Astyanax mexicanus: one gene and its partner. The protein of the gene in region 1 binds, or shares a complex with, the protein of each later gene. Links are inferred from orthologs where the notes say so. Each region holds a gene or a part of one and is shown on either strand. Other genes may lie near its edges. The genes, in order: cyclin-dependent kinase 2-interacting protein and spata5l1.

Evidence for each region.
Region 2: cyclin-dependent kinase 2-interacting protein (region 1) and spata5l1 share a complex: the UniProt entries of both Homo sapiens proteins name them as parts of the 55LCC heterohexameric ATPase complex. The link is inferred for Astyanax mexicanus from reciprocal best matches to the Homo sapiens genes CINP and AFG2B.

The regions. Positions count from the first base shown.
Region 1 is NC_064421.1:48,594,305-48,610,433, reverse strand, and holds cyclin-dependent kinase 2-interacting protein, read left to right. Parts: upstream 1-8,154; 5' UTR 8,155-8,281; coding exon 8,282-8,288; intron 8,289-9,437; coding exon 9,438-9,609; intron 9,610-10,119; coding exon 10,120-10,252; intron 10,253-10,497; coding exon 10,498-10,627; intron 10,628-11,713; coding exon 11,714-11,916; 3' UTR 11,917-11,997; downstream 11,998-16,129. Other genes in the region: haus2 (HAUS augmin-like complex subunit 2), read right to left, coding at 1-84, 645-725; adprs (ADP-ribosylhydrolase ARH3), read left to right, coding at 2,602-2,788, 3,824-3,920, 4,013-4,220, 5,146-5,333, 5,583-5,683, 6,712-7,082; uncharacterized protein znf839, read right to left, coding at 14,165-14,887, 15,783-15,902. UniProt on the Homo sapiens protein: Component of the DNA replication complex, which interacts with two kinases, CDK2 and CDC7, thereby providing a functional and physical link between CDK2 and CDC7 during firing of the origins of replication.
Region 2 is NC_064416.1:44,362,540-44,377,540, reverse strand, and holds the start of spata5l1 (spermatogenesis-associated protein 5-like protein 1), read right to left. Parts: upstream 8,480-15,001; 5' UTR 8,372-8,479; intron 6,915-8,371; 5' UTR 6,910-6,914; coding exon 5,734-6,909; intron 3,487-5,733; coding exon 3,301-3,486; intron 1,785-3,300; coding exon 1,617-1,784; intron 287-1,616; coding exon 77-286; intron 1-76. UniProt on the Homo sapiens protein: ATP-dependent chaperone part of the 55LCC heterohexameric ATPase complex which is chromatin-associated and promotes replisome proteostasis to maintain replication fork progression and genome stability.

The DNA of each region.
Region 1 (16,129 bases):
TTGCTTCATTCTGTTGAGCTGCTCCGCTTCCAGCAGGTGAGAGGAGAACACCTCAGATTTTCGTGGTACAGCATCCAGTTCTTTCTGTAAATGCAACAGGAGTACGTTAGACCCGTCAATCTGAACATAAAGTCCTATCTTACTGAGCCCCTAAAGTGGCTTAGCCTAATTATCTCATTCCCAATGCACACACACACACATATGTATCAATATGCCTTTAGTAATCATTTATCCCCCATGGGCAATGCTACAATCACTTTAACCAGACCAGGATATACTTAAGAGTAGTCAGATTATTATTTTTTTTTACCTCAATAACACAACAGTAAAACTAATTCAACCGTTTTTAGAAATTGCACTGGGATTGGGATTAATTGTAAAATGCTAATTCAAAAGGCAGAAGGTTGAGGACATAATGTTTAATCAATGTTAAAATGTCAACGTTAGCACAACCATTTAACATTAAATGTTGTTTTAACATTGTTTCAGAATTAAAATAACAAGACATTACTTCAACCATATTTAAACCATTTGTCAACGCTGAAGGTCGGTTGTGTACCAGCTATGAAGTCGTGGCCACGTATTATTTTTTTATTTAACATGATGTCACCTTAGAGGCTGAGTATTATGTTGCTTTATCTTACCTGAGACATTGTGCCGGAGTGAACACACCTGGATAAGACTCTTGCTGCTGGAGTCACAGAGTACGGAGTGGGGTCCCACATATTTAAAAGCTAACTTTACCTGTTTTTAAATGTAGAACTAAAACAGGAGAGATATATATTTAAATTAAGTTAATATAAGTTATTTTAGGCAGTGTTGCCTGTTAAAAAAATACAGCTAACCCAGTAGTTAACCTATTTATAACTTGCAAAGCTAAGCTAAGCTAACTAGTTAGCTAACCTAGCTAACGCTAAATAACTGATTAACCGACAGAAAAACAAAAGTTTACCTAGATGTTTGACTTTAACCCCAATTTTTCATCCAAATACCAACTTAAAACATTTCCAGTGCCAATAAAAACACCATTAAACTCTTTCAGCGGTGAGGTTTTAGCAGTGTAGCTTTAGCATTTCGCTAATTTTCTACTAGCCACTGTTTGAACAGCCCGCCTCGCTGAACTGCTCACAGTACCGACGGGAAGCTTGAATCAGTGAACCGATTCGACTTGTTTGAATCAAATGTATGATTCAACGATTTATTTTGTGCAACTCAGTTTAACTTAGTCGTAATTATACCAATGTAGAGCTTCACTGTACAACGAGATGACTATTTATCTGCAGTACAATTAAATAAATAGACAAAATGCCATGAACACGTAGGTGTTTTGAATCGATTCCATTAATTCCTTCATGAGTCGGTTCCGAGTGCGAGTCCGAGTCTTCAGTTTTCCAAACAATCTACCGTAACTAGCTGTGTATGCATGCAAATTTGTCAGGTAATATTAAACTGTGTTAAAGATTATGCAGTTGTAGTTGTTGCCCTAATAAATGTTTTTTTTTTTTTTTTTTTTAATGAAGTCAAAGTAGAATTATGGAGCTGAATTAAGAGAGAACTGTTTTTTTTGCCATTAATAAAAAAAATATAGCCAAACTAAAACTTATTTTCTTCAATACTGTTATTTTTCACTGGTACTGGCTTTTCCACAAATGCAAATAATTTATAAAGAACTGTATGTACATTCACTTAATCAGCCTTTTCAATTAAATTCAAGCTTTCTATTTTATATTTCACTATTGTTTACATTGGCTTATTTCTTTCCTATTTTTTTTCAGTGTCTCATTGTCTTGTATGTCTATACATGTCTCTTACATAAATATACGGCTCTTGCTTATGAATATTCATACATGCAAACATATCGCCGCTCATTGGCTAACAGCACTGCGAGCCAGCGAGATGGACAACAGTTTTAAAAACATTTTAAAATAAAACAATTTAACACTAATAACAGTCTTTGCCTTTTCATATGTTACTTTACAACATGTGTAATAATGCTAATCCTGCTAAGTGCAGTTCAGCCTATACTGACCTAGTCTTAGAGTCTCTGTAAAACACCAAATCCTCCGGAGATCCTATTTAAACCTATAGTTAGGTTTACAAGGTGGGCGGGGACATGAATACTAATTCACAGATTGATGTAGACACGGTGCTTTTCCTGATTTACTCGTTTTGTTTTTCTGAATATTTTCTTTTACTAGCTGCTGCAGAACAATGAGGAAGAGTTTGAGGAAGAGTTTCATCATGTGCAGCATCATATACTTACTGTATTTCACAAAGAACCAGAAAAAGAGGATTTTAGCAGATGGACACTTTTTTATTGTGTCGCCCAGCCGAACCCTGTTGTAGTAAATTGGACTCTTTTGAATTGAAGTGCATTTGTTGTAACACTGTTTTTTGATCACTTGATGTTGTAGTGAAAATACTGTATTTTTTGGTGCTTATATTAGGTGTTTTACGGTAAATAAGCAGGTCAGACAATGACAGCCCAGTCCCGGTAGGAAGAGAATCACAGATGTCACGGCGGACCCGCGGTTCTGCTGTGTGAGTCAGGGCTGGAAGAGACCCAGACTCGCGGTGTTTATTACAGCGGGCAGCCCGAGTATGTCGGCCGCGGCTCGGTTAGCTGCAGTCGGCGGGCCGGTGTCGACCCTGTCGCGGTTCCGCGGCGCGCTGGTGGCGGCTGTACTGGGGGATTGTATCGGGGGAGAGTTTGAAGGAGCGGAGGATGTTCCTCTGGACCGGGTCCTGCAGCACCTCAGCGGGGTGGAGGACGAGTCCCGGGGGGACGGTGAGGCTTTATTACACTTTATTTCATTTTATTTCACTATTAGTGACAGATCTGATCACACAATCACTACTGCTGCGTGTCTCTATATACCCTGTAGCATACCTGTAGTATGTAGCTAAAGCAGCTAAGCTATGTTATGTTATATATTATTGTGCTGGAGGGATTGTTGTCAGTGTTTATGTGTTAGGGATTTCTGAACCTTTAATTATGCTTTTAAAAATATGCACTAAGAGTAAAACTGAAAGTAAACCAATCCCACACCCACCCCCACCCACATACTCCACATAATACACATCAACACTGGAGAAACAGGCCTGTACTTTTTTAAGTGTATGTTTATTCTCATACACTGAATTAAAGATTTTGCTATTTATAGGTTTATGTTCGAGTAAAATGATTTAAAATCATTGGTGTTTTATTCGATAAACTACAGACAACATTTCTCCCAAATTCCAAATAAAAATATTCTCATTTAGAGCATTTATTTACAGAAAATGAGAAATGACTGAAATAACAAAAAAGACGCAGAGCTTTCAGACCTCAAATAATGCAAAGAAAACAAGTTCATATTCATAAAGTTTTAAGAGTTCAGAAATAATCAATATTTGGTGGAATAACTCCAAAAGTTTTTAATCACAGTTTAATTTTATGCATCTTGGCATCATGTTCTCCTCCACCAGTCTTACACACTGCTTTTGGATAACTTTATGCTGCTTTACTCCTGGTGCAACAATTCAAGCAGTTCAGTTTGGTGGTTTGATGGTTTGTGATCATCCATCTTCCTCTTGATTATATTCCAGAGGTTTTCAATTAGGTAAAATCAAAGAAAATCATTATTTTTAGGTGCCCTCTTTTGTTTCCCAGAGGTTGAACTGCTTGAATTTTTACACCAGGAGTAAAGCAGCATAAAGTTATCCAAAAGCAGTGTGTAAGACTGGTGGAGGAGAACATGATGCCAAGATGCATGAAAACTCTTTTTTTAATTATTTAAGAAGGCATGAAGTCAACTCATTATTAAATTTTCTCTTTTTTCAGGTATACTACAGTACAGTGATGATACGGCTATGATGCGCTGTGTGGCTGATTCACTGCTGACCCGGGTGGGGTTTGATGAGCAGGACATGGCTCGCAGGTATGTTCAGATATGGCGTCAGTTTCAGGACTGTGCTTATGTTTAGTTGTGTTTTTATTTTCATTCTGTTACTCTTAATTCTGTATTTCCAGTTTTGCGAAGGAGTACAGTCTCGCCCCGGGCCGGGGCTATGGGTCAGGGGTCATTCAGGTGTTGCGGAAGCTCGCGTCTCCTCAGCTCAGCGACGTGTTTCAGCCGGCTCGGGCTCAGTTCGGAGGACGTGGATCATTTGGGAATGGTGGAGCAATGAGAGTGGCACCTTTCGCCCTCGCCTTCAGAAGCGCAGCTGAAGTGCGGAAAGTGAGGCCTAATATTATTTAATTATATTGTACACATATTATACACAATGGCTAATATTAGAGCAGCTGAGTGATAAATATATGACTTAAGGCCTATTACAAAGCACTAGGGGTGGGCGATATGGTCCTAAAATAATATCACAATATTTTATGGTATTTTCGCTATACGATTTCGATACTCTTGGCGAAATGAATGAAACACTGAATTAAAAGAATAATTTTAAGAACAGGTTTGAAAGCTATCCGCTCCTGTTGCTATGTGTGGGGTTGTGTGATTGGTTCCTTTGTTTAACTTTATTTATGAATGCTTCGACTTATCATATTATCTCCTTTTCAGTATATTTCCAGGCCTGAATAAGTTTTGGAAAAATAAAAATACCCAGTTTTTTAACTACAAATCTTTGTGTTGCTGTTTTTTTTTATCTATCAACGGAGAGAAGCTATTTTGAGCTAACAAATACATCAGCTCAGAATTAGTTAAGTAATTAAGCCCTGCATGATGGAGCTCTCAGGATTCGACACACATTTTATTATTGAAAATTGTGTATTAACATTGCTTTTAAATTAAATTAACTTTAGGCCTACTGTAATCTATTTTAATTATAGTTTTAGTTAATTTCTGGTTTATTGTCCATGTCTGCACGGATGTTTTAGAAATTGTATGGTCATGAAAATTTGCCTGAAAGGCATGGAAAAGACATGTAAAATCATAGATATTTTTCAGTTAAAAACTGTATGAACCCTGACTGTAGTAAAGCGCAGCTTTGTGGAGTGAGTGTTTGTACTGACAGCATATTAACGGAGCCCGAATTCGGTCCTGGATGCGGAATTGAGCAGAATTGAAAAATATATAAAACGTCATAATGATAGTTATTTAATTGTAGCTGAATTATAATTGTGAAGCTAATGTTTTGTGTGTATGGCAGTACTCCAGGCTCGGTGCGATGCTCACACACTCCTGCTCTTTGGGCTACAACGGCGCCGTGCTGCAGGGTCTCGCTGTCCACCTGTCTCTGCAGGGCGTCCTGTCCCTGCCACAGGAATTCATCAACAGACTCATCTCTGAGATGGAGGTCGTGGAAAAAGAGGATTCGGCCCAGCGTGACGCTAAAGCGTGAGTTATTAACTCTTCATAGAACTGTTTTATTTGTGTTGTGTGGAGAAGGTGATTACAGCAGTAAATAGAAAACATTTATAATACTGAGAAGTATATAGAAATAGTTAATTACATAAGATTTCTGATAAGACTAATAACCAGGGTTTGTACGGGTGTTTGAAATCCTAAAAAATGCTTGAATTTTAACGTTCTGTTTTTCGAGCCTTGAAAGTTCTGCAATATTTATATATATATATTATTTTACAGGCTGAATTTAGCAGAGTTTCCGTACTGCGCACGATTACACCGAGTGAAGGAGCTGATAGAGAGGAGCAGCGTGAGCGTTGAAGAGGTCATATCCGAACTTGGTTAGTATCTTGTTTGCTCACGATGTTATTTCTTTGTTCTTATTTCGTTGTTTGTGTGCTGACTGAGGCCACCATGATATCCTGTTCAAATGTATAGTAATAAAATAAAATAAACAAAAATAAAAAAATAGTTATATTACACTTCTAAACACTTCTATACTCATATACACAAGGTTCTATAGTACAGACAGTTGGAGAGATGTTATTTTCATGAAATTCTGTGTTCTTATTGATACCATTATTTAAAATTAAATCAGATAAATTCACTGAGCATGGCTTTAAATATTTAAGATTAAAATCATGACGCAACATAAATGACAGAACAGCAGTTTTACTGCTTGGATTTTACATTGCATTCTTAAAATCAGGTCTGAAGTAGTTAGGTATAGAATGTACAACTTTTAATTAAACCATTTAAAAGGTAAAATGTTAGAACAGAGCTGTAGAAAAAATAAGAAGCTAAAATACACTTTCTTTTATTTGTACAAGTAGATAGTTTTATCACCAGCACTAACCCACCCAGCACACCTACATTCAGCGTAATATGTCCCCAATGGTTTTATAGGCAACTGTGGTCCCAGCTACCTTGAGATCATTAACAAGTTCCCTCCTTTGCAGTTTTAGGCTGATCTGTTACCTTCCTCATGATGAAGGATGCCCTGTAGGTAGTATTCAGGTACAGTAGGTCACTCAGCCTGTAATTTTCTCAAAGGACGTCTGTGAAGCACATACATGGTCGTTCTGGACGGGAATAAAATCACAGAGGATAAAAAACCCCCAAAAAGAGAAAATCATCCCAGAACCCCCTGAGAAATGCTGTCTTTAATGCATGTAGTGAGTTAATTTGGAGCGTCTAACTGGTCTGTAGGAGCCTGAACTCTTAATGGTTGGTAGGGGATCAAATACAAATACAAATACAAATTGTGTAATAAGTGCAAATAAGTGCATATGATTTATACTGTGTGACTTTTTTTTATTTTTATCTCTTTTCAGTCTTTGTCTTGTGCTAATAAGCTCTCTGTGTGCAGGAAATGGCATTGCAGCACTGCAGTCAGTCCCCACAGCTATCTTCTGCGTTCTGCACTGTCTGGAGCCTCGGGAGGGCCTGCCCGAGCGCTACGGTGGCCTGGAGAGGACAATAGCCTACAGCTTGGCCCTGGGAGGAGACACCGACACCATCGCCTGCATGGCGGGCGCCATTGCCGGGGCACACTACGGCATCGAGGCGGTTCCCCGGAGCTGGCAGATGAGCTGCGAGGGGGTGGAGGAGGCCGATCACCTGGCGAAGCGTTTTTATAAACTGTACCAGTCCCAGTCCTCAGGAGACGCAGTTACCATGAGCGACAGCAACCAGCCCCAATCACACGCCAGCAACCAGCACCCCACACACACCAACTGACCCCCCGTCAGAGATCCGGCACAGAGGGTCTCCCTCTCTCATAAAGCTCAATCATCGTGGATTATGATTATGTCTCTGTTGTTTAAAAAGGTTTACAATAAAAGAATAAAAGCACTTCCAGTGGTAAACTGGCAAACTGCTCAGTAATACTGTCCTTCTTTCAATAATGTAGAAACTACTGCAAATGAACATCATGGCTACGTTCACATTACAATCTGATTTAACACGTTCACACAGCCATGAAAAAATCTGATCGGAGCAGAAAATCTGAGTCACTTCAGCTTCACTTCTAATGTGAACATCGGCCATGTGTATTTTTCTATTAGTAATCTCCATGACTTCCTTTGCAATAGACATGGTTTGTTTTTTTCTTTTTTTGTGTATTCTTTCACTTCACACAGATTAAGACTGTTGAACTGTTCAATATATATTGAACTAAAAAAACACAAATCACTGCACTGCAAATAAACAAATAAATATATTCTATTCTATTCTTCAAGATTTCCAAAAGCCTGAGAGCAGACCTTTTTTGAAGTAGTGAAAATCATACACAAAATATTGTCTTTAGCATTTAACTATTAAGTCTGGTAATAACAGTATCACCAGAATTTCAACCAAAAATCATGATTCTTTGGAAAAAAGTGGTCAAATTTAGTGTTACGGATTTTTTTTACCTCCACATTTGTAGATAGTTGAAATTAATATTAATATTAATATATATATATATAATAAAATAAAAAAAAGGACGAGAGAAATTAAATAAAAATGTAAAAGGGCAAAAGTAAAACCAGTAATAAAACAAAATAAAGGGATGATATGAATAAAAAGGCTAAAAGGTAAAATATAAAATTTGATAAATAAAAAAACAAAAGAAATGAAAAGGGTAAAAGAAAAAACTCAACTAAAACAGTTACAGGCTGTCTGGAGGTGGCTTGAGAGAGAAATTTTAGGGACTAATACAGATATACAGTATATTTTATATTATAATAGTACATTAATATGGGTGTTTTTTATATTATTTATATTAACTGGTAATAATAACACGGTGTAAAGCGGGTCTGTGCTGTAGGGGGCAGTAATGAGTTTAGTGTGTAATGAGGAGGATAGAGAGGAAGAAACAGGTCCGGCATGCAGTGAAAACAGTTTAAACAGGATTAAAAATATAATTTTCTCTTTATTAATGAAACAACCGAGCAAAAATGAACGGTAAGAAAACCTTTAACTACCTTTAACACTGAAATGTGGTTAGTGTAATGTCTGTTGTTGTTTCAGTGTTGAATAATAGCAGGAGTTGTAATAAACTCCTGCTATATAAACACTGTTTTTACTCACTGAAATGTAGAGGTGAGTAACCCAGGTCGAGAAAGTAAAAATCCACCCCGGGGTTTAGTACTCACTGCCTGGGCGGCTCTGCTGCAGCTCAGCTACAAAACCCTGGGGTGGATTTTTACTTTCTGGACCTGGGTAACCCACCTCTACTGAAATGTTATTTTTAAGATGCTGTTTTTTTATTTTTTTTTTTTCAGATGTAATTATTCAGTATTTCAGCAAATTTTGGGAAAGTATATCTAGATATGTTAATTCAATGTTCTAGATTTTCCACAAAGGCTGAATTACTGTTATTATACATAAGTGTGAACACAAGCTTAAAAAACAGATTAAGGTGTGGAAATTAGACCCTAATGCGTGGCCACAACTTATTAAGGCATGAGAATGAGATTCTTATGCGTGGCCATGACTTAATAAGGCATGGGAACGAGATTATAATGTTTTTTTGCGTATGAATGAGATAATTAAGAGATAATTAATTACTAAGGCATGGGAATGTGATCCTAATGTGTGGCCATAACGTATTAACTCTCGGGAATGAGAAACTAATGTGTAGCCACAGCTTATAAAGGCATGTGATTCAAATAATTAAGTTGTGGCCACAACTTATTAAGGCATGAGAACAAGATAATAGAGATAATTAATTACTAAGGCATGGGAATAAAAACATAATGCGTGGGAACAAGATGTGTGGCCACAACTTAATAATTCGTGGGAATTAGATAAATAAGTCATGGCCAGAGAGTAATAAAGCATGCTTATCTGTACATTAATGCCTGTAAAGAAACTGAATATTACATCAAAGTTCCTTTAATCCAATAATAATCTTTAGTAAGAAAATAAAGAAAAAATGTATTATTTTTTCATAAATAAAACATAGTATTCCTGTGGGTTTTAAAGCCTTTTTTTTCATATGACCTGATAGTTAACATATTTTGCCTTATACTGTGTTTTGTAAGCTTGTTTGCAGCATCATCCCTAAATACAGCTGTTTTTTCTTCTATGTAAAAAAACGTGTTTAATCAGAAAAACACTCTGAGGCCACGCCCCCTGGAAGAAAAGGCAATTTAACTGGAAGCGCAAGAAAACTGAAGGACAACGCTGCAGACTGGCACAACCTGATCCTGAAGTGGGAGCGCCTGACTGATGAGGGATCGGCCATCGCAAACAAAATTGTCAACTACAGAATAAGTGAAACGTTGGGTTCTGTTTTTGAACATAAATGTATATAATATTTACAGCAAGAGCACTTCAGTTTCTGAATCAGTTTCTGATTTTGCTATTTATAGGTTTATGTTTGAGTAAAATGAACATTGTTGTTTTATTCTATAAACTACAGACAACATTTCTCCCAAATTACAAATAAAAATATTCTCATTTAGAGTTTTTAATCACAGTTTTTTGTCATGCATCTCTGCATCATGTTCTCCTCCACCAGTCTTACACACTGCTTTTGGATAACTTTATGCTGCTTTACTCCTGGTGCAAAAATTCAAGCAGTTCAGTTTGGTGGTTTGATGGTTTGTGATCATCCATCTTCCTCTTGATTATATTCCAGAGGTTTTTAATTTGGTAAAATCAAAGAAACTCATCATTTTTAGGTGCTCTCTTATTCTTCTACAGAGCTGTATATATAAAGTATGTATTTTTCTGATGTGTCTCTGTTCAGATTTTCTGCTCTTCATGTTATCTGTTGTTTTGGGTACAGGTCTGTGAAGGAACCAGATATAGTGTTGGTAGATGAAGGTTCATCAGAAGCTCCTTCAGAGAGGAGAGCGCACCAGAGCAACCCGGAGCTGGAGGAGGAATGCGTCAATCTACAGAACATTGTAGATAAAATGGTAAGATTCTGTAAATCCTATTAACTTTATTTAACTTTTCAAATATCACTGTGTTCGTCTGCTATATGATATATTTAACTGAAATTACTGATCCCAACAACCAATGATGTATAAAGGAAAATCATTAAAGAAAATTATCAGGGGATTCCCAAACGTTTTCATACCACTGTTTGTGCAATGCAGAAGTAATTATGATGTTTTATGAATGCTCTGTAACATATAGTTGTGTATTCCTATCTCCAAAGGCCCACATTCTGCTGAAGATGGAGAAGATTGTCTCTAATGAGAGAGGAGTGTATAATTTGGAGATGTTTCAGTTTGGAGTGCAAGGAAGACCAGCGCCACTGTTCCAAACCTGGTCTACCCAACAGTTTGGTAAGAATAATACCAACACTGAAATAGGGTTAATCTGGACTCAATAGGCCATCACTTGACCTTCTTTAATTGCTCCAGAGTCCAATCTTTAGGATCTCTAGCAAATTAAAGCCTTTTTACTGGTTATCCTCACTGATTAGTGGTTTTCTTAAAGCTACACAGCTTTTATCCCTTCAGTTCCCTTCACTGCATTGTGTGCATGGAAAAGCTCTTACCTTCACTATTACACAACATAGCCCTGAGTTCTACTGTTGGTGATTGCTGATCACTATCATTCAGGACTTTTTTTTCCGGGCCACATTTCTTCCTCGTAGATGATGGGTCTTTTTTAAGCATCCAGTTTTTAACAATAAAGCATTGGACAGTTATTACCCCAATTTTACTAGTTTCTGCTAAAATCTCTTTAGATGTTTTCTCTGCATTATTGATGCATGATGCCAATAATATTTGACCCTTCTCAAACAGTTTGACATCTTTTCCACGAACACAGGATCGCAGTATATTTCCATATGGTTGTTTAAGAAAAGAGAAGCAGCTCATTGCACCAGTTGGGAGTTATAAGACTTTAAGATAAATCGGCCATGCAGTAATTATTATCCAATAGGAGGCAGGGTTATTAAAATATATCATCACTTAAATATGATGTTTCCTTGATTTTACCAAATTGAATTTTTGCACCAGGAGTAAAGCAGCATAAAGTTATCCAAAAGCAGTGTGTAAGACTGGTGGAGGAGAACATGATGCCAAGATGCATAAAAACATTAAAACTGATTAAAAACCAGGATTATTCCACCAAATATTGATTATTTCTGAACTCTTCAAACTTTATGAATATGAACTTGTTTTCTTTGCATTATTTGAGGTCTGAAAGCTCTGCATCTTTTTTGTTATTTCAGTCATTTCTCATTTTCTGTAAATAAATGCTCTAAATGAGAATATTTTTATTTGGAATTTGGGAGAAATGTTGTCTGTAGTTTATAGAATAAAACAACAATGTTCATTTTACTCAAACATAAACCTATAAATAGCAAAATCAGAGAAACTGATTCAGAAACTGAACTTTCATTTTTTTTCTGTTCACTGCAGCTGAAGTGTCTTCTAAGCTTTATGAGGCTTACAAACAGGAGCTGGCCCTGAAGAGAACCATCCTGCAGGAACTGGCCCACACCACCAACACTCACCTGTCTATGGTCTACCTGTCCTGTTGGCTGTATCAGCCCTACGTTGAGGACAACACAAAACTGACGTTAGAGAGTTTACTAATGGAAACAGGCCACAGAGCTCTGTGATTTCTATCTGTGGCAGTTTTTCCACACTGCCTGAGGACTTTTATTAAACAGGAATGGATGAATAATAAAGGGGGGAGAAGATGAATGTCTCACTGATGCATGTTTAGAAACCCAATATAACATATTGAAATGAATCTATGACCATGCTAGGATATTTACTATACCCTGAAATATGGTGCTATAATCATCCACCCCTAATTATCACATCAGGGTACTACTTTTATTATTTTACTGTTTTTATCAAAAGAAAAATTCACACTGTTCTCATTTCCCATTATATATCTACTAGATACAGATTATATCTGTCCAGTATCATTTATTTTACTTTAATCCTGGATATATGAAGATATCTGGAGTGCATTATTATTATTATTATTAGTAGTATCATTACTGATCATTCTGGATCACTGACTTCTGTTACTGTAAATCTGATTAAATTCTCAAATATCCTTCAGCAGCAGGAAGTGAATTGTGAATCTAACCTTTAGACACACTGACAGGAGTCTCTACTTACCACAGATGTATAGAATGAACTGCAGCCATTAGACAATGTGTGGAGAATTTTAAAACAATAAAATTTAACAAACACATCCACCTTATTTCTGGAAAAAATGTTTGAACCCTGAACCACAGGAATAGATGTACTAATATATCAATATATCAAAATATTAGGATATCATTTAAAAGAAAATGTTACTTTATTTCAGTAATTCAGTTCAAAATGTAAAACGTAATATATATCAAAATGTAATGTATATATTATATAGATATATTAAACACAGAATGATGTATTTTAAGTGTTTATTTATTTAATTAATGATTATGAAGCTTACAGCCAATGAAAACCCAAAAATAAGTGCATCAGAAAATTAGAATATTATATAAGATCAATTGGTACATTTGGCAGTGTGGGCAGTGTGCCAAATCCTGCTGGAAAATGAAATCTGCATCTCTATAAAAGTTGTCAGCAGAGGGAACATGGCATCTGCTGGTGTTGGTCCACTGTGTTATATCAAGTCCAAAACAATCTTACAGCACTCTATGCTTCCCTCTACTGACAGATTTCATTTTCCAGCAGGACTTGGCACACTGGCAATTGGTCTTGTATAATATTTACATTTTCCAAGACACTGATTTTTGGATTTTCATTGGCTGTAAACCATTAACAATCATCAACAATAAAAGAAATAAAAACTTAAAATGCTTCACATTTTTAACTGAATTACTGAAATAAAGTAATAAATAAACTTTTCAATGATACTCTTCATTTTTGAGATGCACTAGTATATTATTAACCAATGAAATAAACACGTAAACACATTTTAGTAGTTTTTTAGTGTGGATATCAGGCACTTCTGTATAGAGTAAAGCCTCAATTCCAAAAGCTCACTCGCAAAGATTTAATTGTTTTAATGTCATCTGCTCAACTTTTTTTCCCCCTTGGTATTACAAATGTCGAGATGTTTTGAAAAAACACAGTATGCCCAAAGATTATATAAAAAGTAATAAAATATTTCTTCTTCTTTTTCTTTTTTAAACAACCATTGAACTGGACAAACTACTATTTAACATGTAACAATGAAACACTTATCAAAAGAGGTCAACCGGGACTTCAGACACTTAAGACATGTTCGTCCCCTTTCTTCTTCCTGTGTGTGTTTCTCAGATCTAAAGTTTGTTTTTAACACTTTTTCCCACGAAGCACATCTGAATCAAACTCCATTAAACCTCAATCCTCAAACGAGGTTTAATACAAACGAGTCGTGAACCGGTACTACTCAAACTCAGCTCAGCATTCAACCAACCTTCTTCTCTTCCATGCTGTAGTAGAACTTAAACTTCCAGTCTGAATTATATATATATATATAATTATATAATACACACAAACCCAAATTCATGGAACGGAGGTGTGTACGCCTGCATCCCAGCGCTGCTGCTCGAGGGGGAGGTGGGGGGAGAAGTAAAACGTTTGGCAGCTAGAATAAAGAAATAAAGAAATGTGAAGGTAACAAGTCCGTGTCAAACTCCTAAATCTCAGGATCTCACATTTAACAAAAAGACTAAACTGAAACAATGGGCTAATCTACAATAATGATAATACTTTTGTTTTGTTTTTTTACAAATTTACAAAGAATCGCAATAAAAAGTTCCTTGAAAAAAACACTGGAAAAGACCACAATGCAGACAGACAGTGTGCTCGGAGTGGATGACCAATTACAGATGAGTTTGGGAAGCTGGAACTCCCTCCTCAAGTCGTTCTCTCAGTTTCAATACCGAGCAGAGCGTGGACAGTTTCTAAAGGAACCCCTTCCGGTGCCTCTATATGCATGGTGGTGCCATCAGGCCCGTTCACAATCACGATACCTTTAGAGGCGAGTTCTTCAGCGCTCTGCCTCACCAGGCCCTCTGCTGTCTGAATGAAAACCTCCTCAGCATGGCCAGGCTGTATCTCCTGACTCTCAACAGCTTCTCCCACAGTTTCTACCTCACTCAAGCTGCCCACGTCTGGAGGATCACAGTTTCCGTCCTGTAGATCTCCCGCTGTCTCCTGAGGAGCGCCGCTCTCGTGTTCAGCGTCTGTGCTCAGGGCCTGCTCCAGCTGTTCCATCTGATCTGAAACATCCACACTTTCTCCGCTGGTCAGAACCTCAGAAACCTGCTCCTGAGCGTCTTCCTGAAGTCTGACGTCCTCCGATTCGTGAGGAGCATCTGCCGTGTCCATCGGTTCCTCTTCTTCAGTCCTTTCTTCCTGTGCTTTATTATCCGAGTCTGTCGACTCTTCTCCAGCCACAGGATCAGAATTAATGTTCTCCAGACGAGTCAAAACCAACTGAGGCTCGCGCAGTTCTGAGGAACCGTCAGCAGATTCCTCCTTCTGGATGCCGTTCTGATTAACCATCTCTGAGTTTGAGTTTTTCTCAACGCAGTTTTCCATTTTAAATCTCTTCGCAGGCGGTAGCATTTTAGTATTCTGAAAAACAGAAAGAACAAGAAGAAACAATTAAAAACATCTCGATGACTAGGGCTGAGTATTGTTTCAAAATGTTCAATATTGATACCTAAACATTACTTTTTTTTGATACCCTTATTAAATTGCAAACAAAAAACAATACATTTTTAAACAATACAGATTTATTTAACAGCCAACATGAGTAACAATAATCAATCAATCAATCAATCAATCACTCTCATACTGTCGCCATGAGAGGCTACAGCAGCATTAGCCAACTTTAGCCACTTAAACTCCAAATATTTTTCCCGAAGCGTATTACTGGATGAATTTCATTTTTTAAAGTTATTTTTAAGTAATATCAGCAGCATCAGTCTGGCATAATTAAATAATATTTATATTATTGGTGTCAATCACTTAAAATGAATTAAAATAATCAATTATTATTTTGTTCCGGTATTTTACAGTAATATTATGAGGGGACCGTAATAATAGTGTGGTTTTGTTTACTTCTCGCAGACTAGATAATTTTTTACTGTATTATAATAGCTCAGAGTAAAGAGAGAGAGAGAGAGAGGAAGACTGTGCGAGTGAGTGAGAGAGTGAGTGGTTGAGAGAGCGAATGAGAGAAGAGAGACAGCACAAATGTTCTTTTTTTAGCACAAAACACAAAAAAAAACAAGAACTAACCGACACATTTTGGTCGGGGCCTTTTTGATATCGATTTTCGATACTCAGCCCTAATGATGACAGACCGGTTTCTTGAACATTAAAAGAAATTCATAGCGTTCTATACTGTAAATACTAAGATGACACAGCTTATAAGAAGGTCTAGGGCTAAACATTTATCTCTGGGCTTTTACAGCATTATAAAACATGATTTCACCGAAAATGTTAAATAAATCCATTTTCTCACCTCAATACTGCGCAGGCTCTTCACGGCCTGGTTCGGCCGGGCTGTACCTGGCTGTCCCACAGTGGAGTTCAGGTGCGTCAGTGCACTCGGAGGATCAGATATACCCAGAGATTTTAAGACCTTTAAAAAGTCATTTATATTAGTTTAAATTTATTTAATATCACATTTTTAACAATAAAAACAACAACCTCAATAATTATAATTATGAGAAGAAGTGATCTCTAAAAAAATTTCAAATAACACTATTATTTTTAATAATAATATATATATTTTTTTTGTTGAGTCATTTGAGTCTTAAGTCCTGATCCAATACTATGGCAATGCAGTAAAAAAAAATAATAAAATAA
Region 2 (15,001 bases), on another chromosome or scaffold:
AAATAAGAATACTGTGTGTGTGTTTGTGTGTGTGTGTGAGAGAGTGTGTGTGTGTGTGTGTGTGTGTGTGTTGTACCTGTGACAGTGTTCTCTCTGAGTCTCCTACGTATGGAGAGTAGAGCTGAGCTCCGCTGAGAGTGAGGAAGCTGCAGTGTGATGCAGAAGCTGCAGCTTTAACCAGGGTGGTCTTGGCACAGCCGGGGGGGCCATACAGCAGAACACCCCGCGGCCCACGTACCCCCATCCGCACCAGAGCCTCAGGGAACTTCATTGGCCACTCAATGCTCTACAGACACACACACACACACACACACACATACACAGGACCACAAGGTTACATTTATGTGTAGTCTGCAGGTAAACAGTGAAAGTGTGAAATTATAAAGTTCATGCAGTAAATTGGCATCTAATAGACTGGCCAATCTGGCCAAAAAAAGCTCTCCAGTGGATTTAACTAAGCAAATACATCGGAGCCTCCCATTGGATAATTACTGCCTGGGTGATTATGTTATTTAACCCCGACTGATGCAGTGAGTAGCTTCTCAATTAAATAACAAAAAACATATAAAACACGAAAGACTCATTCCGTGGTCGTGGAAAAGATATTCATTGGTTCAGAAGGGTTAAGTTATTGGCATGTATCCAGCGGGGAAAATCAGGTTACAAACTGTATAATGCATTATTAAACAGAATAGTGGAAGAACAGTGGGGAAACATCATCTTCGAGGAAGGAATGTACTATACTAAAAATCTTGAATGATGGTGATCGACAATCACTTAAAATTTTGGTAAAATCAAACAGTAGAAGAAACACTAAGGGATATGTTTAATAGTGAAAGTAAGAGCATTTCCACACACATAATGCGGTGAAGGGAACTCAAGGGAGTGGGACTAAACAGTTGTGTAGCTTTAAGAAAGTCAGTTATCAAATAGTCTAACTGGCAAAAATGTGTTAAAAATTTGCTAGCGAGCATAAATATTAGACTCTGGAGCAATAGACAAAGATAATGTCTTCTGATGAGTCCAGATTGACCCTGTTCCAGAGTGATGGAGCATCAGGGTAAGAATAGTGGAGGCTGAAGTGATGCACCCATCATGCATCAGGCTAACCTGTATATACTGAATATAGACCAGGTTATTCCATTAATGGATTTTATCTTCCCTGATGATATGGCCATATTCCAAGACGATTAATGTCAGGATTCATGGGGCTGGAATTGTGAGTGATTCAGGGAGCATGAGCTCATTTTATTATCATTATCATTTTCACACATGGATTGAGAGAGAGTTCACCACAGAGTCCAGACCTTAACCTCATTAAGAATCATTGGGATGTGCTGGAGAAGACTTTGTGCAGTGCTCCAAATCTCCCATCATCAGAAAAAGATCTTGGGGAAAATTAAGTGCAACTCTGGATGCTTGTGGAAATTATGCCACAGTGAATGTGTACCATAAACAAAGATAAATCTGAAAGTGTGTGATCTTTTTCTTGTCCAGGCAGTGTATTATTCAGTAGAGTATATTGGGATAAGTATATGCCTGCTACTTAAATATTCTTCAAAAATGGTTAAATCCCCTTTCTGAGACTGTGTGCAGGACTGTGTAAATCTCTGTACCTGCTTTAGTTTGAGTTTGACGTCTTCCAGCCCCCCTATTCGCTCCCAGCTGACAGGCTGAAAGTCGGCCACGCCCACACTGCTGCGCAGACAGGAGGGTGGGACTAACCTCAGAGCTCTGTCGAAATGCTCCTGCCCCACAGACTCATTTGTGTTCTCAGCTCCACCCTGTGAAACAACACACAGCAGCACAAAGTAATGTTTTACAATCAGTAATAGTCACATCTCAGGGCACGCAAGGTCACATACCATTCAAATTATATCAAACACTTCATGCTACAAGTATTTCTACTTTAATCTTGGATGCACAGAAGGCATTATTAATAAGTTGGGGAGCATATCTGATAGAAATTTCTGTATTTTTTAAATACTGCAATATATATTGCAAAAAGACAACATATCACAAGATCATGCAGCCCTGGTGGAGGTGAACTATGATATTGCCACTATCAGCACATAATTCATTATTAGCTTAAGTGATGCTGTGTTTACTGCACTATTGCACTAAAAAACTGTATTTACCATATTTCTCGCACTATAAGGCGCACTTAAAATCCTTTAACGAATTTTATCAGTCAGGTTGTAAGGAGCAGTAAAGCCACTACGCTGAAGTCCAGCATTATAAAGGAGTTTCAGTTAAGTTTCTCCAGTACCTAAGCAGAAGCAGTATTAGCATTAGCCGCTTACTGCGCTAAGCACTAGCTCTTTCACCGTTCAGGATTGAATATATCAAACTGTAGCCTGCGCGTTTACTGAGTAAAAACAAGCTACCCTTAAGAACCGTAAGCTAATATTGCCCTGGCTAACTGAAACACTCCAGGTTCCGCAATGTAGCACTATTAAGCAGCATTTACTAGCTCTAACTGTGGCTAGCGGTTAGCCGCTAATGCTGCTGCAACCAACCTCAGTGAAAATCTGCAAAACTAAGCTTGCTGTAAATAAACGAAAGCGCTTTTCTAACCCAAATAAACAGATTTCAGGAGCAAAATCCGTACAAATTAACATCCAGTGATTGTTTGACACTATTTTAAAAAAATAGTGTGGAAAATAAGTAAATTTTACAGTACCCTATATATTTGGACCAACCTTCTTATTCAAGGTTTTTCGTTCTTTAATTTTTTTTCTATTGTCAAGACTACTTTTCCACCATGACATTAATTCAGGGACACATATGGAATTACTTAGTAAACACTCAAAAAGTCCCTTGATCTAAAGCTGATGAACTGAGATGGTGAATTGAGGTGATTTGTTTGGGATGAGCTGGAGCTTCACAACATGAAGGAAAAGCAGCAACTATTGTTCAGCACCTCCAGAAACTCCTTCCTTCAAGACGCTGAGAAAACTATTCCAGGTGACTCTCCCTCGTGAAGACACTGAGATTAAAATACCAAGAGTGTTCAGATCTGTCCTCAAAGATAAATGTGCCACTTAGAAGAATCTAAAGTATAAAACATATTCTGATTTGTTTAATACTTTTTAGTTACAGAATAATTCAGTATGTGTTCATTTATAGCTTTAATTTCTTAAATGTCCTAAAGTCATAAAGTGCAGCACTGAACTATATTGATATGTTGGGCCTCAGTACGTTGGGTATAGTAGGTTTACTTTTTTTTACTGTTAACTCAATTATTTTACAATATACAGTTATATATATAGCATGTGTGTTTATGTGTGTGTTTTTTACCTGTGCAGTGTGCAGTATAGCCTGCAGCGCTGCCTCCCTACAGAGCGCGCTCAGATCAGCTCCAACATAACCAGTGGTCATCTCAGCGATGGTCTGCAGGTCCACAGTAGAAGACAGTGGTAAACCACGGCTCACACACTGCAGAATCCGGAACCTCTGCTGTAACGTGGGAACACCCACCACCACCTGAACATGCACACACATTTATCACAATATTTAATATTAGCTCACTCTGCTTTACATGGACAAAATACTGGGATATTTCTCCATTCATTGTTCCCTCCTAAATCAAGAGAGGTTACAATGCTCTCGTAAATAATTGTTTCAAAGACAGAATTTAATTGCCTTCTGGATAAAGAGTGTTCATGAGGTCAGAAAGTAAGATTGTCACACCCCACTTCACTTGTACAAGAGTTCAAAATACATCTAATAGAGCAGCAGTTCTCAAACTGGGGCCATAATGAGGCACAAAGGGGGATGCAGCATGATCATTTATCATTATGTTATGTGGATATATATTAAAGGGGACATATTAAGCAAAAATCACTTTTTTGTTCTTTTGTATTTCCACTTGGGTCTCAACTGCCTCTATAAACCCTTTAACACTCCAAGCATGGATTTTTTTTTCCTGTGAATCAGCTAAGAGTTTGGTGACAGAAATCATATGCTTTTATAAGCCATTTGGATGCTCCCTTATTGTGACATCACAATAAGGAAACCTGCATAGGACCAGGGCCCCACCCACCAGATCAGTTGAAGAAACATTACTTTGGTCTGCTTAAGATTAGTGCTGGACGATATGGCCAAAATTTATATCACAATATATATTCCTTCATTTCGGTCGATAAGATATAATTTTGATATCGATATAAATACTTTGAAGGCCTCAGAAAAACTGCTAAGAATCCCTGCAATTGATATCTGTACACTACTGTCTGAAAATTAATTTAAGTCTTTAAATCCTCTCAAAAAAAGCGAACTTTAGAAATACTTTAGAAATAAAAAATGGTTAGAATAAATCAATGCTCACTTTAATTTGCATGTAGCAAAATAAAAATATGAGATCTCTGTCAAACATAAACCTATAACCTATACACATATTACCAATATAAATAACTTTACATTACAACAGAGGCAGAGCTTCTTATTTTTTTGTAAACATATTTAACAGATCAAAACAAAAGTGCTTCAACCAGGATAGGGAATACAAAAAGCCTTCATATACATAAAGAGAACATGATATCCCTGTCAAATAAACAAACCTATATCAACTATAAATAACTTAGATACAACATAAACTACAAAAGTGCTTCAGATATTGTGTGTAGTGCTTGAAGTGGTGGAACAGACCGGACCGGAGCGCAGTCGAGCTTCATCGCGGGACATTCTAGGTGCGGAGCGGAGCTGAGATCCGCTCGGTTAGGGTCGGTTTCGCTTCATCGCGGGTGGGTTTTAGGTGCGGTGCGGAGCGGAGCGCGGCCGAGATCCGTTTGGTTAGGGTTGGTTTCTCTTCAATACGGGAGATTTTAGGTGCGGAGCGGAGCACAGCCGAGATCCGCTCAGCTAGGGTCGGTTTTGCTTCATCGCGGGAGGTTTTAGATGGGGAGCGCAGCCGAGCTTCATCGCGGGACATTTAGCAATGCGGAGTGGAGTGGAGCCGACCCAGGCCTAGCCTAGCCTAGCCACGTGCCTGTATGATTACGTCATTATGCACTGACGTAGCCCGGCTACGTAGGCTGTTTGTGTTCAGCTCTGCAGTGAACTGACACCTCAAAAAAAACGCCTGTCTGTGAAAGATTCTGAAAATAACACATATCGATACGCCACAAAAATGATATCACCGTTATTAAAACATTTCTTATCGTGATGAATACCGATATCAAAATATTGTCTAGGGCTACTTAAGATCCTCGTACACATCAGGATTAGAGATCAGACTTCTTCTGAAGAAGGGATCTGTATCTACTCTCCGTAGCAAGTCAGTAGGAAGATGGAAGTACAGCTATGCATCAGAGGCAAAAGCTTTTATGGATTTATTGCAAGTGACGGAGCCCTTAAACGGCTCACTCTAAAAGGGACTGAAACTGGTAAGAACAGAGGTGGTGGGATGCCTTTATGCTAGAGTGAATTTGTGCAAAGAACTTCATGAACTTGTTTTGTTTTGGCCATAGACCTGTTCTAACTTGTGTTTTTTACTGGAGGTAAAGTGGGTGGCTAGGGGCCACAGTTTAAGAATGAAAAAGTTTGAGAATTGTTGCAATGGGAAGCTTTAATCTATTAGTAGTGTAGAGATGACAGCGCAAATTTAGCGAAAATAGTTGTCTGATGCGAACCACACAACATTCAAGTACAATTTAAATGGATTTAATTAGACAACACTTCATGCATCCATGTGTTAAAAAGAAATTTTATTTTTAAAATTATGAACTTTACCTCTCTGTCGAACCGGCCAGGTCTCCTGAGGGCCGGGTCCAGTGTGTCAGGCTGATTGGTCGCTGCGATGATGATGAAACTTTCATCGCTGCCGATCCCATCCATGAGCGTCAGCAGCTGAGCTACGATACGATTTTCTGGAGTGCTGCCAGATTCACTCCTCCTCGGACAGAGAGCATCGATCTCATCAATAAACAAAACACATGGACCGTCCAGCGCCGCCGCCCGAGCACGGTCGAACGCCCTGCGCAGGTTCTCTTCGCTCTCTCCAGGGCGTGACCCCACCACCACAGGGCCGTTTATGGTCACCAGCGCTGCTCCGACTTTCTGCACCACATTTCGGACCAGCTGGGTCTTTCCCACCCCTGGCGGCCCCACCAACAGCGCCCCCCGTGGACAGGGCAGGCCTAGACGCTTTAAGCTGCCTGGATAGTGCAGCGGAACCGTTAGCATCTCTTTTAGAGAAGAAAGCACCTCCTCGACTCCGCCCAAGGGCACAGAAGGAGTCTTTCTCAAAGCCTGTCTGTACTTCTGAACTGTCTGAACCGAGCTCAAGTCCAGGCGGGTCTCGGCAGTGACCAGTCCAGCTTTTTGCGAGCCAGAGTTCACCTTCTCCACCTCTATGAACTGAATCTGAGTCCCAGCTCTCGCAACACTCACCAAGTGCTTCTCGTGCACATACAGACCCATCAGTAGCTCCTTTGCGAGCTCCTGAATGTACTGGATGGGCTCAGTTTCAGAACTCTGCACCAGAACCTTCACAGACAAGCGCTTAAGACGTGGGCAGGTTAGTGGCTTAATTTTCATCCTCTGGAGGCACTGGAGTTTCATTAAATTGATATTGAATCCAGCGTAGCTGTTTTCAGACTGAGGCGTTGGTTGGGTGCTGAGCTTCATTGCATCATAGTTGATGAGGTTTACTCCAGCGCAGGTGGTTTGGAACTGCAGGTATCCATTAGCGAGGTCACTCCGAGGCCATGCGGTGCAGAGGCAGGACCCCCGGGGCAGCAGGATGAGAAGCGGAGAACCCAGCTTCAGCCCCAGCTCCTCCATCACTGCAGGACCCAGACGACATCTCTGAGTGCCAGCGTCCACAGAGTCTGGCGGCAACACCACCAGATCTCCGTCTTCCACAGGAGGCATCTTCTGGATCTGGGGGGTTACAACAGCATCCATAAGACCTAGAACATAACACACAACAGGTCACAGAAGGGTCATATTATTCAGAGCAGATACAATTCACACAGCATACTTAAAACACAAACACATGATGCATTTAAGATGTTCTTACCATGTCAGAATTCAAATAGTTACAAAATTGTTTTGTAAGGCCCCCCCAGATATTTGGTCTTTGTCCATTCTTTGCTGAGCAGAGTGAAGATATTTTCAAACGTTCTGATTGGCTCTTTGAGTTATGTAAAACCATCAGATTGCTTTGAGCTGTTAGATAAAGAAGTGCACGTTCTGTCTGTGTGAACATTAGAAGCAGGTACAGTATCCCACAAAAGTGAGCACAGCCCTCACACATTTGTAAATATTTTATTATAACACTAAATATATGACACTTTGATACAGTGTAAAGTAGTCAGTGTACAGCTCTGTGGAGTCAAATGCTTGTCTCGCTGTGTCCTACCTGGAGAAAAATGAGAACAGCATCTAAGCAGCAAACACCAATTACTGTGTCTAACTTGTGCAATAGAGCATATGAGAAATCTGGGAATCTTTTTAAATACTTAAATATTAGGTGTTTTAGGTCCATTTATAGTGTTTACGGAACTATTTAAAATACCTAGTTTTAAGTAAGCCGTGTTAAAGTTGTTGGTGTATATCCTTTTTTTTTTTTTTTTCTATTTTTTCCCATTTGCTCCCCAATTTACACAGCCAATTACCCAACCCATTCATTAGGGACTTCCCCTATCACTAGCGATACCTCAACACACCAGGAGGGTGAAGACTAACACATGCTTCCTCAGATACATGTGAAGTCAGCCACCGCTTCTTTTCGAGCTGCTGCTGATGCAGCATTGCCGAGTAGCCAGCACGCTTGGAGGAAAGCACAGCGGCTCGGTTCTGGTACATCAGCTCACAGACGCCCTGTGCTGCAGACATCACCATAGGAGTGATGTGGGGAAAGAGCGCCATCTACCCACCCGGAGGGAGCTCCCTCTAACGCCAGCAGCTTGATGGCAAAGCTGCATGAGCTGGGGTTCGAACCGGCGACCTCCTGCTCATAGTGGCAGCGCTTTAGACCGCTGGACCACTCGGCGCCGGTGTATATCTTATATCTTTTAAGGTCTATAATTTAAATACTTCAGCTGTTTTTCTAATAATTAAGTCTGATTTCGTCATATATTATGTACTTTTGTGGGACAAAGTAAAAGCAACAGTAATCAAAGCATTAATTTAAAGACTTAATGTTTTATATTATATATATTTATATATATATATATATACTCCTAACAGTGTGGGTTATAAAGTGGAGAAAGTGACACTGTGCACTAGAGAGGGGCCCTAGTTAGACAGCTGATTTCTAATTAGAGCGCGACCTCCAATACACTACACACACAGCTCCGGCCACGCGCTCCGTATAAACACCCTGACTATATCCCACTGATCCAGTGATGATAATTAATCTTACCTTCAGCCGCCCCGCGCGGCTTCACTCCGCGACATGCTGCTGTGTTTACCTGTCCTGTAGGGAAAGCATGGAGCCCGCGCTCTTACTCTACCGCTGAGCAAACACTCACTGCTGCCCCCACCGGCCTGGAGTGAGAGCAGAAGCGAGGCTTTTGGGTAATCAAATCAAATGAATCAATTGGTTCGGAAAAAGATTCGATCTAGTGAGTCGTTCGAATCACTCCTTTATTACAGTGGCATCTGCTGGTCAATCAGGGTCATTATAACGACTCCTTTTCTGACTGTTTAAGGCTAAATGCAAAAATAGAAAATTGTATGTAAAAAAAAATCATTATTTCTTTTTTTATGTAGTGCAGTGTACAAGAAATAAGTTTTCATCCATTTTTCCAATTTATTTTTTCATCTCTGCACCTTACAAATGTATTTTTAGGGAAAAAAAGAACAAAGAATATATATTTTTCCTCATTTTTCCATTTTTGCATTTTGCAAGGATTATTATTATACCTTAAGATTTGTGTTGCAAGGTACACAATTTACAACTCTGAAAATTGAGAGAAGATTCACTTTTTCATTCTGTTTGCCAAAGGTTGAAATAAAAATTTATATAAATGACAAATTGGATGAATAACCATTTCTTCTTCATTCTACTGAATATAAAAAAAATAATGATTAAGTTCTATTACCAATTTTCTATTTTCGAATTTTGCTTGATGCAGTCACAGAAATTAAACTGCTAAACTTTACACTGACCAATTTATCTTTAAGACCAAAATTATCCCAGATCCCCCAATTAAGACTTCAAACCCCCTTAAGGGATAAAACAATAGTTTGGTCAAAACATTTAAATATACTTCAAACATATAAAGTTAAAAACTACAAAAACAATGTATCTGTGCCTGGAAGAATATTGTGATACGATTTCAATCTCCCCTAAAGTGGATCATACCATTCCATCTTAATAATAATCATTCCTCTTCTTTACCTGCTGCTGCCTCATTATTTGTCATGTGGCTAATTGTGTCTAGGTTAAGGTACACAAGCTGCTCGAGATACAGCATTACAAGTAAGTAGCTTCTATCTACTTATCTTTTTATAAATAAGCACTTTAAACACACTTTTCCTTACAGAAATAACTCACATGAATTTACTATCCCACCTTAAATGCTGCCAATTTACCATTCCGCCTTAAATGCTGCTGTAGCGGCACTCAGGCTTCAGGCGTTTTTAAGGTAGAACCGAAGATTCAAATGGGAATCCACGTTCTGTTTTATTTGAACTGTTTTTCTGTGATTTCTGCACAACCTGAGCAGAAATGTGTAAAACTTTTAAAACACTTTATTATCTACTACAGTCTAAAGAGGAAACTGTGTTTTAACGTAGAGAAAATGTGTTTTAATGCAGGGAAACTGTTAAGGTGGAATGGAAATGTGTTTTAAGGTGGAATGGAAATGTGAACAAGAAACTAAAAGCTTTATACGCTGCAGTGAGTTAGACCTAGTGAAGAATTAACATTAGTTACGCAGATGAGCAGTTGAGCAGATGAACAGTAAACTGGTTTATTACAATTTTTTAAAGGTAAGACTTATTTTCTAATCTTTTTACTATGCTACTTTAAAAATTAACAGTAGCCAAGCCTTTTAAATGGCTTTAGCCGAGCTATATAAATGCATTCCTACATATCTCCCCTTAACATTTAATATTGTAGTCCCAGAGTCAAAATATGTGGATGAGATGAGGAACAAAAGTCTTCTCTACAGGGTTTTTACATTGTTATTTTATATTTATTTAGAATGAAATAATACATGATTCCTGTGGGAGAGATCCTATAGAATATAAATTAAAATGTAATGGTAAGAAAGCTGATTAAAGATAGCATCTGATAGCATTGTGTCTGTGTGTTTTTGCAGGATTAACTGTGGATAATATATTATTTATATGTATAAAGGTTATTGTGTGGTATATAAGTGCTACATTAGCTGATGTTTATACATTAGTAATGGTTTTATATTTAATGTGTTGTAGACATTACAGTAAGGAAGTGAGACACTGTAAGGATTATAAGACTTCAGTTTAGTGAAGCAGCACCTAAGCTGTACTGGTTTCCATTTACACCCTGGGCCAGTTGGAGACATTTTAACTGTACAATCATCCACTTTTCTAGTTGATCATACTATTATTGATTGATCATGTGGTGTTTTTGTGCTGTTGGTTCCGTCATAAGACACTTTGCAAGAAGTTCTTTGCAGTTTTTACGTCAGATAAAGTCAAATAAAGTTGATATGTGAAATGGTCAGTGTGATCAGATTACTTTGTACGTGGTCTCTGTCATTTATATTTTCTTCTGGTCTGAATCTCATCCATATATGGTTGGTTGTAGTCAATTTGACAAAATGTGTTTTTTTAGTTTAGTTTTATAGAACATAAGGGAACGTAACCACAGCATACAGTAACAGAATGGAACTGTTGTGTCGCTCAGGCAGTGGTAAAAGTCTATAAACACTGTTGAGGATGTAGATAAGGTTCATAAGCTTTTTATCACGTGATCTGCTATTTATAGCAGAGATAGAGGGCCATGCTGAAACTGTGGAGAAGGAGAAAGCAAGGACAGTGTTTCTATTACACACCAGTATTCTGATAATACACCACCCATCTCTGTGTGTTTCCCTCTTCCAGAGGAGCCTGTGAGCAATACGAGTGGAAAAATCAACCAATCCTTTTATGGAGCGTGCCCTGCAGTTTCTCAGACCGTGTGTGTGTGTGTGTGTGAGTGATTGAGAGAGAGAGAGAAAGAGAGAGAGAGAGAGAGAGAGAGCGTTGTATAAAGAGCATTAAAGGGCTCATATCATAGATAAATGAAAAAAAAGATAATTAAAGAGTATTCTACAATGAGTATGATATATAACTATATATAACTAATCTACAAAAGCATCACCTTTGGAATAGAGTGTGTTTGTGATGTCACACAGTAAAATCCATAGTATTAAAAACACAATGAAAACATATTTTTCCCTTTTGAGTATTAACATATACTATTTCTATACTAGCATTAGTTAAATGTGTAATTTAATATTTTTTTTCTTTACAAACATGAATTAAGTAAAGAACTTAACTAATTTTAATAAATTACTTTTTATGTATAGAAATCAAAGATTTATGTTTATCATATGTACTGTTGTACAGTAAAAAAAAAATAATAGTTATTTCTTTTTTCATCCACCATCCAGTTAAAATATGTAATGTTAAAATTCTTTAAATGTTAAATGTATATTTTTAAACTTGATGTGAATATTTAAGTTGTAATACAAATGACATATCTGCACTGCATAATGCTATCTATTCTAATCGCCAGGTAACATATAAATATAAAATCACACACACACACAGGACTTAAAGGAAGAACAAGAATAAAAACTCTCTACATAAAAAAAGTAATTAAAAATGTAACCAAATGGGCACAGAGTGTTCCAGCACTCTAAAGTGCTGCCAATATGATTGGAAGATTGCTGGTTCAAATCCAGCTTGCCATCAGCTGCCGGAGCTCTGAGAGCACAGTTGACCTTGCTTGCTCTGGGTAAGTAGATAGCATTCTCTCCCCACATCACTTTAAAGGGTGATGTTGATCAGCACAAGGCCTCTGTGAGCTGATGTATCAGAACCGAGTCGCTGCGCTTTCTTCCGAGTGTGCTATGATGCTACTCAACAATGCTGGATCAGCAGCAGTTAAAAAAAGACGGAGTCTGATTTTGCATGTGTCGAAAGAGGCGTGTGCTGGTTTTTTACCCTCCTTGTGTTGTGGCATCATCAGTGATGGGGGGGATATACAGCTGAATGTGTGGGAAAATTGGCCTAGCTAAATTGGGAGAAAAACAGGAGAAAATTTAAGTAAAATTATTGGAAAGAATCCATTCCACACGATCGATAGGAGAATACACATACCACTGAAAGCAGGAGGAGGTGAAATCAGCCCCATTACCATCTCACAATGTCCAATTTTTACTAAAACCTATTTTTTTTGGGTTATATGCCCATGTTCTTTTTTCTTTTTTTTTCCATGTTTAGCTGTTTTATTTTTTCAACTTTTTAGCTATATTCCCTCTATCACTAGTAATGCCCCAACACCAGAAGGGTGAACTGAACTGAACTGCTGCTGATGTAGCATTGTCTAGTAGCATCACAGCGCTAACACTCCGAGAAAAGCGCCTTGTGCTGATCAACATCACCCTAAGAGTGCCATCTACGCACCCAGAGAGAGCAAGGCCAATTGAGCTATCTTGGACTCTGGCAGCTGATGGCAAGCTACATGATCGGGATTTCGAAGCACCACTCGGAGCCTGTTAAATGAACGTTCAATAAAACAATTGAATATTAGGAGTAAACTTTGACTTATTTACGGAACAATGTTATTCCTAGTTATTCCCAGTAATCGTGTATTAGCAACAGGCTGGTAAATATATGGACTAGAGAAATGAGGACTTGTTGAATTGTTGAATCTGTCTGTAAAATAGTCATTCATTTAAGTCTCTTTTATAAGTAAAATTATGTGTATTTTTAACACCAGAATGGTGTAAATTGCATCTAATTCATAAAAAAAATTATGCCCCCAACACCCCCCCATGGAATGTTCTCAGAACATTCCTGGAACATATTAAAGCAATCATACGCTAGAGGTTCGTGCTATAATGTGTAAAATTGGCCCTGCTGTGCTGCAGTCGCGCCTGTATTAAACAAGTATATTATTGCGATTATACCACAGTTCCAGTATCGCTGTTTAATGTAGGATTTTGAGTTAAAAAGAACAAGAAAATATGATCTGTTTGGTTATAAAACAGTCAGGCTGGCTTGAAAACACTGCATCGTTGCTAGGTTACCTGTTTGTGGTGCAGTAATACATGAAGAGCTTCAATTACAGTGCATTACTGGCTGATAATGGCATTCACAGAAAGCCCCTCGGCCAATCACATTGCAGGTTCGGAACTAACTGTGGTATAATATACTGTATAATATAACATTACGTGCAAAAAAAATAATAAACGTTTTTATAACGTTCTCTGTTCGCTGGGGAGTATAGACACAGTGATCTGAGTTTGTTATTGTAAGGTCAAATTTCCAGATTTTGCTTGAAGGTGGGTAAAACTAAGTTAAGAGACTCAAAATGAGGAGTACTAAAAGTTTAGATTAGATTTAAGATGGATTCACTTGCTCAGGGATCATTTTTCACTGTGTGACTGTGAGTATGACTGGAGGCCCTACGCCTGTGTGTGTGTGTGTGTATGTGTGTGTGTTTGTATGTGCGCATGTTAGAGTTTCTTGGCACTGCGCTCCAGTTCTTCGTCATGCTGTGAGTTCTCGCGTTGTCGTCTCTCTGTGTGTAAGTGTGTGTGTGTGAGAGAGTGTGTGTGTGAGCCGGCTGTGTCCTGCTCTCCCTCTAATGTCACAGGGGCCGTGGGCAGGCCTGCAGGCGGAGAAGGGCTCTGAGAAGAAGGACAGCATATAGATAAAAAGAAAAAAAGGCAGATAGAGAGGAATAAAGAGGTAGAGAAAGAAGAAGATGAGCACAGGTGTCTAAAAAGAGCTAAAAAGAGCTGCCTTAGATCTTCTGCCTACAGGACGCAGGCCGGCACGGTCAGAAGAGTGTGTAGAGTGTGTGTGTGGAGTGTGTGAGGCATGTCCGTGCTGCTCCGCCGAGTGCCCTTGCTCCCACAGGAGGCCCTGTGGAAAATCAAACATTTCCATAACGCTCCTGCACTGTGGAACCAACAGGCTGCTAAAGGTAGGAGAGATTTTACACCACAATAATACTTAATAATACTTTACATTTAAGTTTTACACACTTATACACTTCTAAATATCTCAATATCACCCAATACCTTTATACTGCTTTGACACTTGTATGAAAAACTAATTTTTATACTCGTACAACTTTTACGGAACTTGCTTAAATACTATATATACACATTGTTTACACATATTTTACACTTTAACATATTAACAATACTTTAAACTACCTTTACACTATTTTGGCCATTCATTTACACTGCATTTATACAGCTACCACTTACAGCTACACATAACATACACACTTATTTACACTGTATTCATATACTCTCTACATTCATGCTCTCATATCTGGTTCAGGTAAGGTCAGTCTGAAGCAGTTTTAAAGAAGGTTTTGTATTTTTGATTCTGCTAAACCACTAATACACACTGACCCCACTTTATAAGTAAATATCCTGTAGATGAACACTGATGGCTGCTGCACGTTTAGTTCTTGTGCTCTGTAAACGTAACAGCAGTTATAAAAGAGAGGTCAGATAAAGGTGAAATCCAACCTGACTGCTATAGCCGCGATTTCCCCCTTCAGACCTTCATGCTGGGGGTTATCTGCTGAGATTGAGTGTGTGTGAAGTGTGTAGTGTATCTACTATAACCCCTTTGTTTTTGGAGGAATGATTATTTTGCATTATTCCGGCTGTGTCTCGGTGCAGGCCGGGCTTTGCTGGGTTTTTGCCAGCCAGCTGCTAATAATGTCCCGCAGTCAGTGGAGGCCGCCATGCCGGTTATGGGGAGAAATGTGAAAGCTGAGCCGGGTAGCGGACCGGTGCCAGGCAGGGCACAGGCCGCCTCACTCACT